Neurospora crassa OR74A: one gene and its partner. The protein of the gene in region 2 purifies or fractionates together with the protein of the main gene of each other region. This does not show direct contact. Links are inferred from orthologs where the notes say so. Each region holds a gene or a part of one and is shown on either strand. Other genes may lie near its edges.

Evidence for each region. The genes of interacting proteins can lie anywhere in the genome.
Region 1: the proteins of NCU08920 (region 2) and NCU05270 purify together in Saccharomyces cerevisiae (affinity purification with mass spectrometry, with the first as the bait; 3 studies listed by BioGRID). This does not show direct contact. The link is inferred for Neurospora crassa OR74A from reciprocal best matches to the Saccharomyces cerevisiae genes ARB1 and FUN12.

The regions. Positions count from the first base shown.
Region 1 is NC_026504.1:5,514,688-5,518,435, forward strand, and holds the start of NCU05270 (mitochondrial translation initiation factor IF-2), read left to right. Parts: upstream 1-987; 5' UTR 988-1,275; coding exon 1,276-1,788; intron 1,789-1,883; coding exon 1,884-2,399; intron 2,400-2,473; coding exon 2,474-3,748. Other genes in the region: NCU05271 (hypothetical protein), read left to right, coding at 1-123. UniProt on the Saccharomyces cerevisiae protein: Plays a role in translation initiation. Translational GTPase that catalyzes the joining of the 40S and 60S subunits to form the 80S initiation complex with the initiator methionine-tRNA in the P-site base paired to the start codon.
Region 2 is NC_026505.1:623,286-627,033, reverse strand, and holds the start of NCU08920 (ATP-binding cassette sub-family F member 2), read left to right. Parts: upstream 1-1,530; 5' UTR 1,531-2,019; coding exon 2,020-2,592; intron 2,593-2,662; coding exon 2,663-3,748. UniProt on the Saccharomyces cerevisiae protein: ATPase that stimulates 40S and 60S ribosome biogenesis.

The DNA of each region.
Region 1 (3,748 bases), on a different chromosome or scaffold from region 2:
AGCCTGTTGGATAAGTTGGATGGAGGCAAACATACTGCTGAGTGGATGGGCGAGGGCACTGCGGACCAGTATTTTGAACTGGCGTATAACGTGTTGATGTATTATCTTAGGCAAGTTTACTAAGTGCTTGGAATTCTAAGGCGGGGGGGGGGGGGGGGGGGAAGGGCAAGATACACTGGTAATAAACGGACGTGTGATCCAGTGTCGGCCTACAAGCCGTCCTGATGAATGCCTTGGTGGTGTAGCTACAGCATAATAGAAAAGCGAATAAAGAATATCACTAGCAACATCTGGTTAATGAAATACCCATTATGACAAGGTGAGGGAGTTGGCCTGCCCCCTTGGATGGAATATCGCACAAAATACACCAAAGTGGTAGAAAGTAAATACAGAAATTAGCCCAGCAAGTGCCCCACTTGTGCCTTAACAAGCAGGTGCCCCGCATTCTGCACCAACGAGTCGGTCACTGTACTTGTACGCGGGAGTGCAGGAGCTTCCACTTCTTTTTCACCACTGCACTGTACTGTACTGTATTTGTCTTGACTGCTGTCTCCAACAGTCTGTGCAGTGTCAAGTCAAGGGCTTGGTCAAAGCGACACCTCCTGGCTCCGGCACAAGTAAAAAAAAAAGTTTGGAGTGGCGATCCTTGTCTGGATTTTTCTGCTGAATCGAGACTCCTTTGACTTTGCGACTTCGACTACTTGGGATTGAGTTAGAGAACGGGACATGATTGCCGTTTTTTGACCGTAGACGGAGACAATACCAAACACTTTATACGGGTTGAAAGAAAGCGCATAGGCAGACGGTGTAAGTACAGGTACTGAGATAGGTACGTACCTGACCTCTATATAGTGTAGCAACAAACCAGAGCGGGATTCGATACAAAGAACAACGAAAGAAAAAAAAAAGATCCACGGTGCCAAGTACCTACAGTACCATCGATCCACTCTGCAGCACCACCACCGAAAAGTGATACAAGTGACAAGCCCTATCCCGTCGACAAGGGGGGACCTACAGCACCAAAAAAAGTACGCCGCCTGCCTTCTTTAGCAGCCAGCCATATCGCATATAACGGCCCAGTAGCCCCAGTCGGCCGCCCCACGAACCCACCACCAGAACCACCTAGCGAGCAACGAGGTCTTCACCCGGACTTCGACTTTCGTCACAAGGAGAGAAGGAGAGCCCATCAGGATCCTCTCCCCCGCCCATCCTACCGACGACATCCCCGCCTCAAGGTATTCCCCGGTCGACTACCAACAGTCCAGTTAGCCCAACATGGCGCCCAAGAAGAAGGGAAACAAGAAGGCCAACGATGACTGGGAGGCCGAGCTGGGCGAGTCCATCGCCCCCGTCAACAACAACGGCGCCGATGCTGCTGCCGCCTCTCCCGCTGCCGCCGACGACGAGGCCGCTTCCGGTGGTGGCGGTCTGATGGAGAGAATGCGCAAGGCCAAGGAGAAGCGCAAGAAGAAGGGTCTTGCCGACGACTGGGAGGCTGAGCTGGGCGAAGACGCTCCCGGCGCCGAGAAGCCCGCTGCCGCCGAGCCCGTCCCCGATCTGTCGGCCAAGGTCGCCGAGGAGGCCAACCTCGACGACGAGTTCGCTCTCCCCGAGAAGAAGGGCAAGGGTGGCAAGGGCAAGCAGCAGCAGCAGCAACAGAAGGCTGCTCCCGCCGCCGCCGCCAAGAAGGACGAGGATGCTGCCGATGAGGATGGCCCTAGGGTGTTGACCAAGGCCGAGAAGGAGAAGCTCAAGAAGGAGCGTGAGAAGCAGCGCAAGAAGGAGCAGGTGAGTACCCAGTCATTATCACTATTACCCACTAATGACTATACATACATCAGACACAAACGGAAGACTAACAACAACTTCTTTTCACTAAACAGGCTGCTGCTAAGAAGAAGGGCACCACACCCGCCGCCGCCGCCAAGGCCGAGCCCGCAAAGGAGGAGAAGAAGGCCGAAACCCCCAGCCCCGTCTCGACCCCCGCTTCCACTCCCGCCCCCGAAGCCGCCGCCGGTGGCAAGAAGAAGAAGCTCCCCGCCCACCTGCTCGCCCTCCAGAAGCAGCAGGAGGAGCTGCGCCGTCGCCAAGAGGAGGAGGCTAGGCTCCTCGCCGAGGAGAAGGCCAGGATAGAGGAGGAGGAGCGCGCCGCTGCCGAGGAGGCCAAGCGCAAGGAGGAGGAGCGCGCCCGCAAGAAGGAGAAGGAGAAGCAGAGGATCGAGCAGCTCAAGAAGGAGGGCAAGTTCATGACCAAGGCCCAGAAGGAGGAGAAGGCCCGCAACGAGAGGAAGCTGCAGCAGATGTTGGCGGCCGGTATCAAGGTCAACGCGCTCGAGGGTGAAGAGTCCAAGAAGAAGCCTGTCTACGACGACAAGAAGAAGAGGGCTGCTAACAAGAAGGTGAGTCTGTCCGGGATTCTTGCTACAATTACGGTATACTATGGACGGCGCTAACCAGTGTCTACTTGCTACAGAAGGACGAGGAAAAGGCTCTCGCCGAGGCCGCTGAGCGCGCAAGACTCGCCGCTGAGGCTCTGGTCAAGGAGCAAGAGGAGAAGGCCCGCATCGAGCGCGAGAAGGCCGAGAAGGAGGCTGCTGCCAAGGCTGAGGCCGCCAAGGCCGCCGCTGAGGACAGCGTCGACGAGGACTGGGAGGCCGCTGTTGCCTCTGACAAGGAGGATGTCAAGGACAGCTGGGACGCCGACTCCGACGAGGAGGAGGAGACCAAGAAGGAAGAGACCAAGAAGGAGGCTTCTAAGCCCGCCGCGGCCAACGGCAAGACTCAGGCCAAGAAGGAGGAGTCCGAGTCCGAGTCCGAGTCTGAGGAGGAATCTGAAGAGGAATCTTCTGAAGACGAGGAGGCTACCGCCAGGGAACTGGAGGAGGCCCGGAGGAAGAAGGAGGCTGCCGAGCGCCGCGAGAAGGCTCACCAGGCCGCTCTGGCTGCCAGGTCTGCGGACAACCTCCGCTCGCCTATTTGCTGTATTCTTGGTCACGTCGATACTGGTAAGACGAAGCTGCTCGACAAGATTCGTCAGACCAACGTCCAGGAGGGTGAAGCCGGTGGTATCACTCAGCAGATTGGTGCCACTTACTTCCCCGTTGAGGCCATCAAGCAGAAGACGCACGTCGTCAACAGGGACGGCAAGTTCGAGTTCAAGGTTCCCGGTCTTCTTATCATCGATACCCCCGGTCACGAGTCTTTCTCCAACTTGCGTTCGCGTGGTTCTTCGCTCTGCAACATCGCCATCTTGGTTGTCGATATCATGCACGGTCTCGAACCCCAGACTCTCGAGTCCATGAGACTGCTCCGTGAGAGGAAGACGCCCTTCATCGTCGCTCTCAACAAGATCGATCGTCTTTACGGCTGGAAGAAGATCGAGAACAACGGCTTCCAGGAGTCGTTGGCCCTCCAGAACAAGGCTGTCCAGAACGAGTTCAAGAACCGTCTCGAGCAGACCAAGCTCGCCTTCGCCGAGCAGGGTTTCAACTCGGAGCTCTTCTACCAGAACAAGTCCATGGCCAAATACGTCTCCTTGGTCCCCACCTCTGCCCACACCGGCGAGGGTATCCCCGACATGTTGAAGCTCATTGTCCAGCTTACCCAGGAGCGCATGGTTGGCTCTCTCATGTACCTCTCCGAGGTCCAGGCTACCGTTCTCGAAGTCAAGGCCATCGAGGGTTTCGGTATGACCATCGATGTCATTCTCACCAACGGTATCCTCAGGGAAGGTGACCGCATTATCCTA
Region 2 (3,748 bases):
CCGGCGAACACGTCTGTTTTGAGGGATGCTTTCCACGGAAGTCATGAACACCATTTCGAGAAAATCATCAACCAAGTTAACTGAAAACATATACGTATATCTCACCACACTGATTCCCCTTCACTCCGTAGCGATTGCCAGAAGCTCCTGCCCAAACGCTCAACTGGAATATAAATAGGTAGTAGCTACATCACTTGCCAATTGGAGTGAGTGTTTATGATGTGTAAGATGCCCGGGGGCATGAAGTGTTATCATCTTTACCGTTGCGCAATCTGATCCGATCTGACCGATTTGGATTCAGGTTTTGGTTTGGGGGTCCAGCATCGGATAGACGGTAGGTCTTCCTTGTACTTCAGGGTTGGGTTAGGTAGGGCGGGTTGGGATCTCGGTTGATGGAAGTCGGAACTGGAGCTAGACCCGGAGCCGGAGCTGGGCCCGGGACCTGAGCGGGAATTGTGGGTCTCTTTCGGATGCCGTAAGTCCAGTACCGCAAAGACTCGGGCCCGCCTGAAATTGCATGCGAGACGGTAATTCAGGGTCTCCCTGCCCTTCGGGGATAAAGAGGAGGAAAAGCAAGGACACCAGAAGAATCGAATTCACACTCCTCCAGAGTGGCAACGCGTCTGAGTCTCGAGGCGTCGAGGTCTGCTCAGGCCTCAGGGTCCATCCAGCTCTGCATTCCGACCAAGCGTCACACCAAGGCACCAAACATAACCCTGCGGATGGGCAACATGTACTATGAAAACCACCGTGGTGTCCCATCGACGATACAAAGATTTACAAAAGTGTCGGTGATGACAGGCACTGAACTGAAATGACTTGGGCTCCCTGGCATGTTTCTGCGTGATTCACAATGACTGTACCTGATACTGAATGCAAATGGCCAAACCACGTGCTGCTGTGAGCAACGAACTCCGACCAAAGCTCAACAGTCGGTTCAGCCACCCAAAGAGTTGATGAGGTAAGCGATGCAAACAGTGGCACATGCAGCGGTGGGGGGTGGATTGTGACGTCAACCGAGAACGAGCGTCTGCCCCAACACGTGTAGCAATTCGACAAGTGCAAGTCGCTGATGGAAAAGTGTTTGCTGGATTGTGTGCATGAACGAGCTGAAACGGATGTGGCAGAGCAAGACGGTGAGGACGGACGGAGGGATGGATATTTTCTCACAAATCGCATAGTGAATCGTCTTTCATCTTTGCCATTGTTCTTTTTGAGGGTCTAGCCAAGCCAGCACTCGGGCCAGAGTTGAACAAAAAAAAAAGATTCCAAAAAGTTGTCGAATGCATCGTTTCGTTGGAGCGCTGACCAACCGATAAGCAGACGATAAGCCAGCCGTTGTTGCCTTGTGGCCTGACCGCTACCTACCTTTAGTGTATGTAGACGGGAGGTCTGGTAATTCCTTGCCAAGGCTGGTTCCTTATCAGATGGCTTTTGGCGGGCAGTATCAGCAAATCGTTATCAGAGAATTTGTGAAAATTCAAAGCCCCACCATACTCTAGGTCCCTGGCAGAGCCACTGTGAGTGAAGGACGGAGGGAGGCTCGAGTCCTTGTCGCCCGCCCCGCCGCTTTGAAGTTTTGGCAGTGACAGTGCAATCGCCCCCCCCACCTCTTCTGCCCTGGCAGGCCTGGTTGGGTACAAGCAAAATCGCAAGCCAAGAACGTGTACTGGACCCCCAATCATTCTTTGCCTTCGACCGAACCCGACATTTGACTTTGACTGTCCCCGTCTTGCTTGCTCTCTTTTTTCCTTTCCACTTCCCCTTGTGTGCTCGACGGTCGGTTTTTTCGTCTGTCTGTCCAGAGTGTGTGTGTTTTCGATCGGATTCCTTCTTAGTCCGCCCACCACTCCCTCCAGTCTCCATCACTATTTGTTTGGTGATTCTGTTTAGAGAGAACTAGATTCTTTCGACACCTTCTTTTTTTTCAACCCCCCCCCAAAGGTATCCCTTCGTGTTTGTGCATCGTCACCAACACAACTCCACCAAACCAAATCAACCACAGAATCATCACTCAAGATGCCGCCCTCCGCCTCCAAGCAGAAGCGCCTCGCCGAGAAGGCCGCCAAGGCCAACAAGGGCAAGGCCGCCAAGGAAGTCGAGCTCGATGCTTTTGGCAAGCCCGTCGTCTCGGATGAGCCCGCTACCAAGAGCGAGCAGATGGACGAGGTCAAGCGCCTCGCCCAACAGATGGACAAGCACGGTCTCTCGGATCGTGTCACCACCGGTGTCTTGGCCTCTACCAAGGCTTCCAAGGACGTCAAGATCACCTCCGTCTCCCTCGTCTTCCACGGCCGCGTCCTGATCAAGGATGCCACTCTCGAGCTTACCCTCGGCCGCAGGTACGGTCTTTTGGGTGAGAACGGTTGCGGCAAGTCCACCCTTCTCAAGGCCATCGCCGCCCGCGAGTACCCCATTCCCGAGCACGTCGACATCTACCTTCTCAACGAGGGTGCTCCTCCCAGCGAGCTCGGTGCCCTTGACTGGGTCGTCACCGAGGCCAAGAACGAGTTGGCGCGCCTCGAGAGCGTCGCCGAGAAGATTCTTGAGGAAGAGGGCCCCGATTCGCCCCTCCTCGAGGACCTCTACGATGTATGTATCCCCCAAATCCTATGATCACACCGAACTGGGCGCATTCACAATACTAACTCTGCCATCACAGCACATTGACAAGATGGATCCCTCCACCTTCGAGACCCGCGCTTCCCTCATTTTGACCGGTCTCGGTTTCAACAAGCAGACCATCCAGAAGAAGACCAAGGACATGTCCGGTGGTTGGCGTATGCGTGTCGCCCTCGCCAAGGCCCTCTTCGTCAAGCCCACCCTCCTCCTTCTCGACGACCCTACTGCCCATTTGGATCTCGAGGCCTGCGTGTGGCTGGAAGAATACCTCAAGAAGTGGGACCGTACCCTCGTCCTGGTTTCTCACTCCGAGGATTTCCTCAACGGTGTCTGCACAAGCATGATCGACATGCGCCTCCAGACCCTCATCTACTATGGTGGTAACTACGACACTTACCACAAGACCCGCGCCGAGCAGGAGACCAACCAGATGAAGGCCTACCAGAAGCAGCAGGATGAAATTGCCCACATCAAGAAGTTCATTGCTAGCGCTGGTACCTACGCCAACTTGGTCCGTCAGGCCAAGTCTCGCCAGAAGATTCTCGACAAGATGGAGGCCGACGGCTTCATCCAGCCTGTCAAGCAGGACAGAGTCTTCTCCTTCCGCTTCGCCGATGTCGAGAAGCTCCCTCCTCCCGTTCTGTCGTTCGACAACGTCACCTTCTCGTACTCTGGCGACCCCAAGGACGACCTGTACCGCCACATCGATCTCGGTTTCGACATGGACTCCCGTACCGCTCTTGTCGGCCCCAACGGTGTTGGCAAGTCCACCCTGCTCCGTCTCATGACCGGCAAGCTCTCCCCCACCGATGGTGTCGTCCAGCGCCACACCCACTTGAAGCTCGGTCTCTACTCCCAGCACTCTGCTGAGCAGCTCGACCTGACCAAGTCGGCTCTCGACTTCGTCCGTGACAAGTACCCCGACAAGTCTCAGGACTACCAGTACTGGCGCCAGCAGCTTGGCAAGTACGGTCTCTCCGGTGAGGCCCAGACCTCGCTCATCGGTACTCTTTCCGATGGTCAGAAGTCCCGTATTGTCTTCGCCCTTCTCGCCATCGAGTCTCCCAACATGCTCTTGCTCGACGAGCCTACCAACGGCCTCGATATCCCCACCATTGACTCGCTT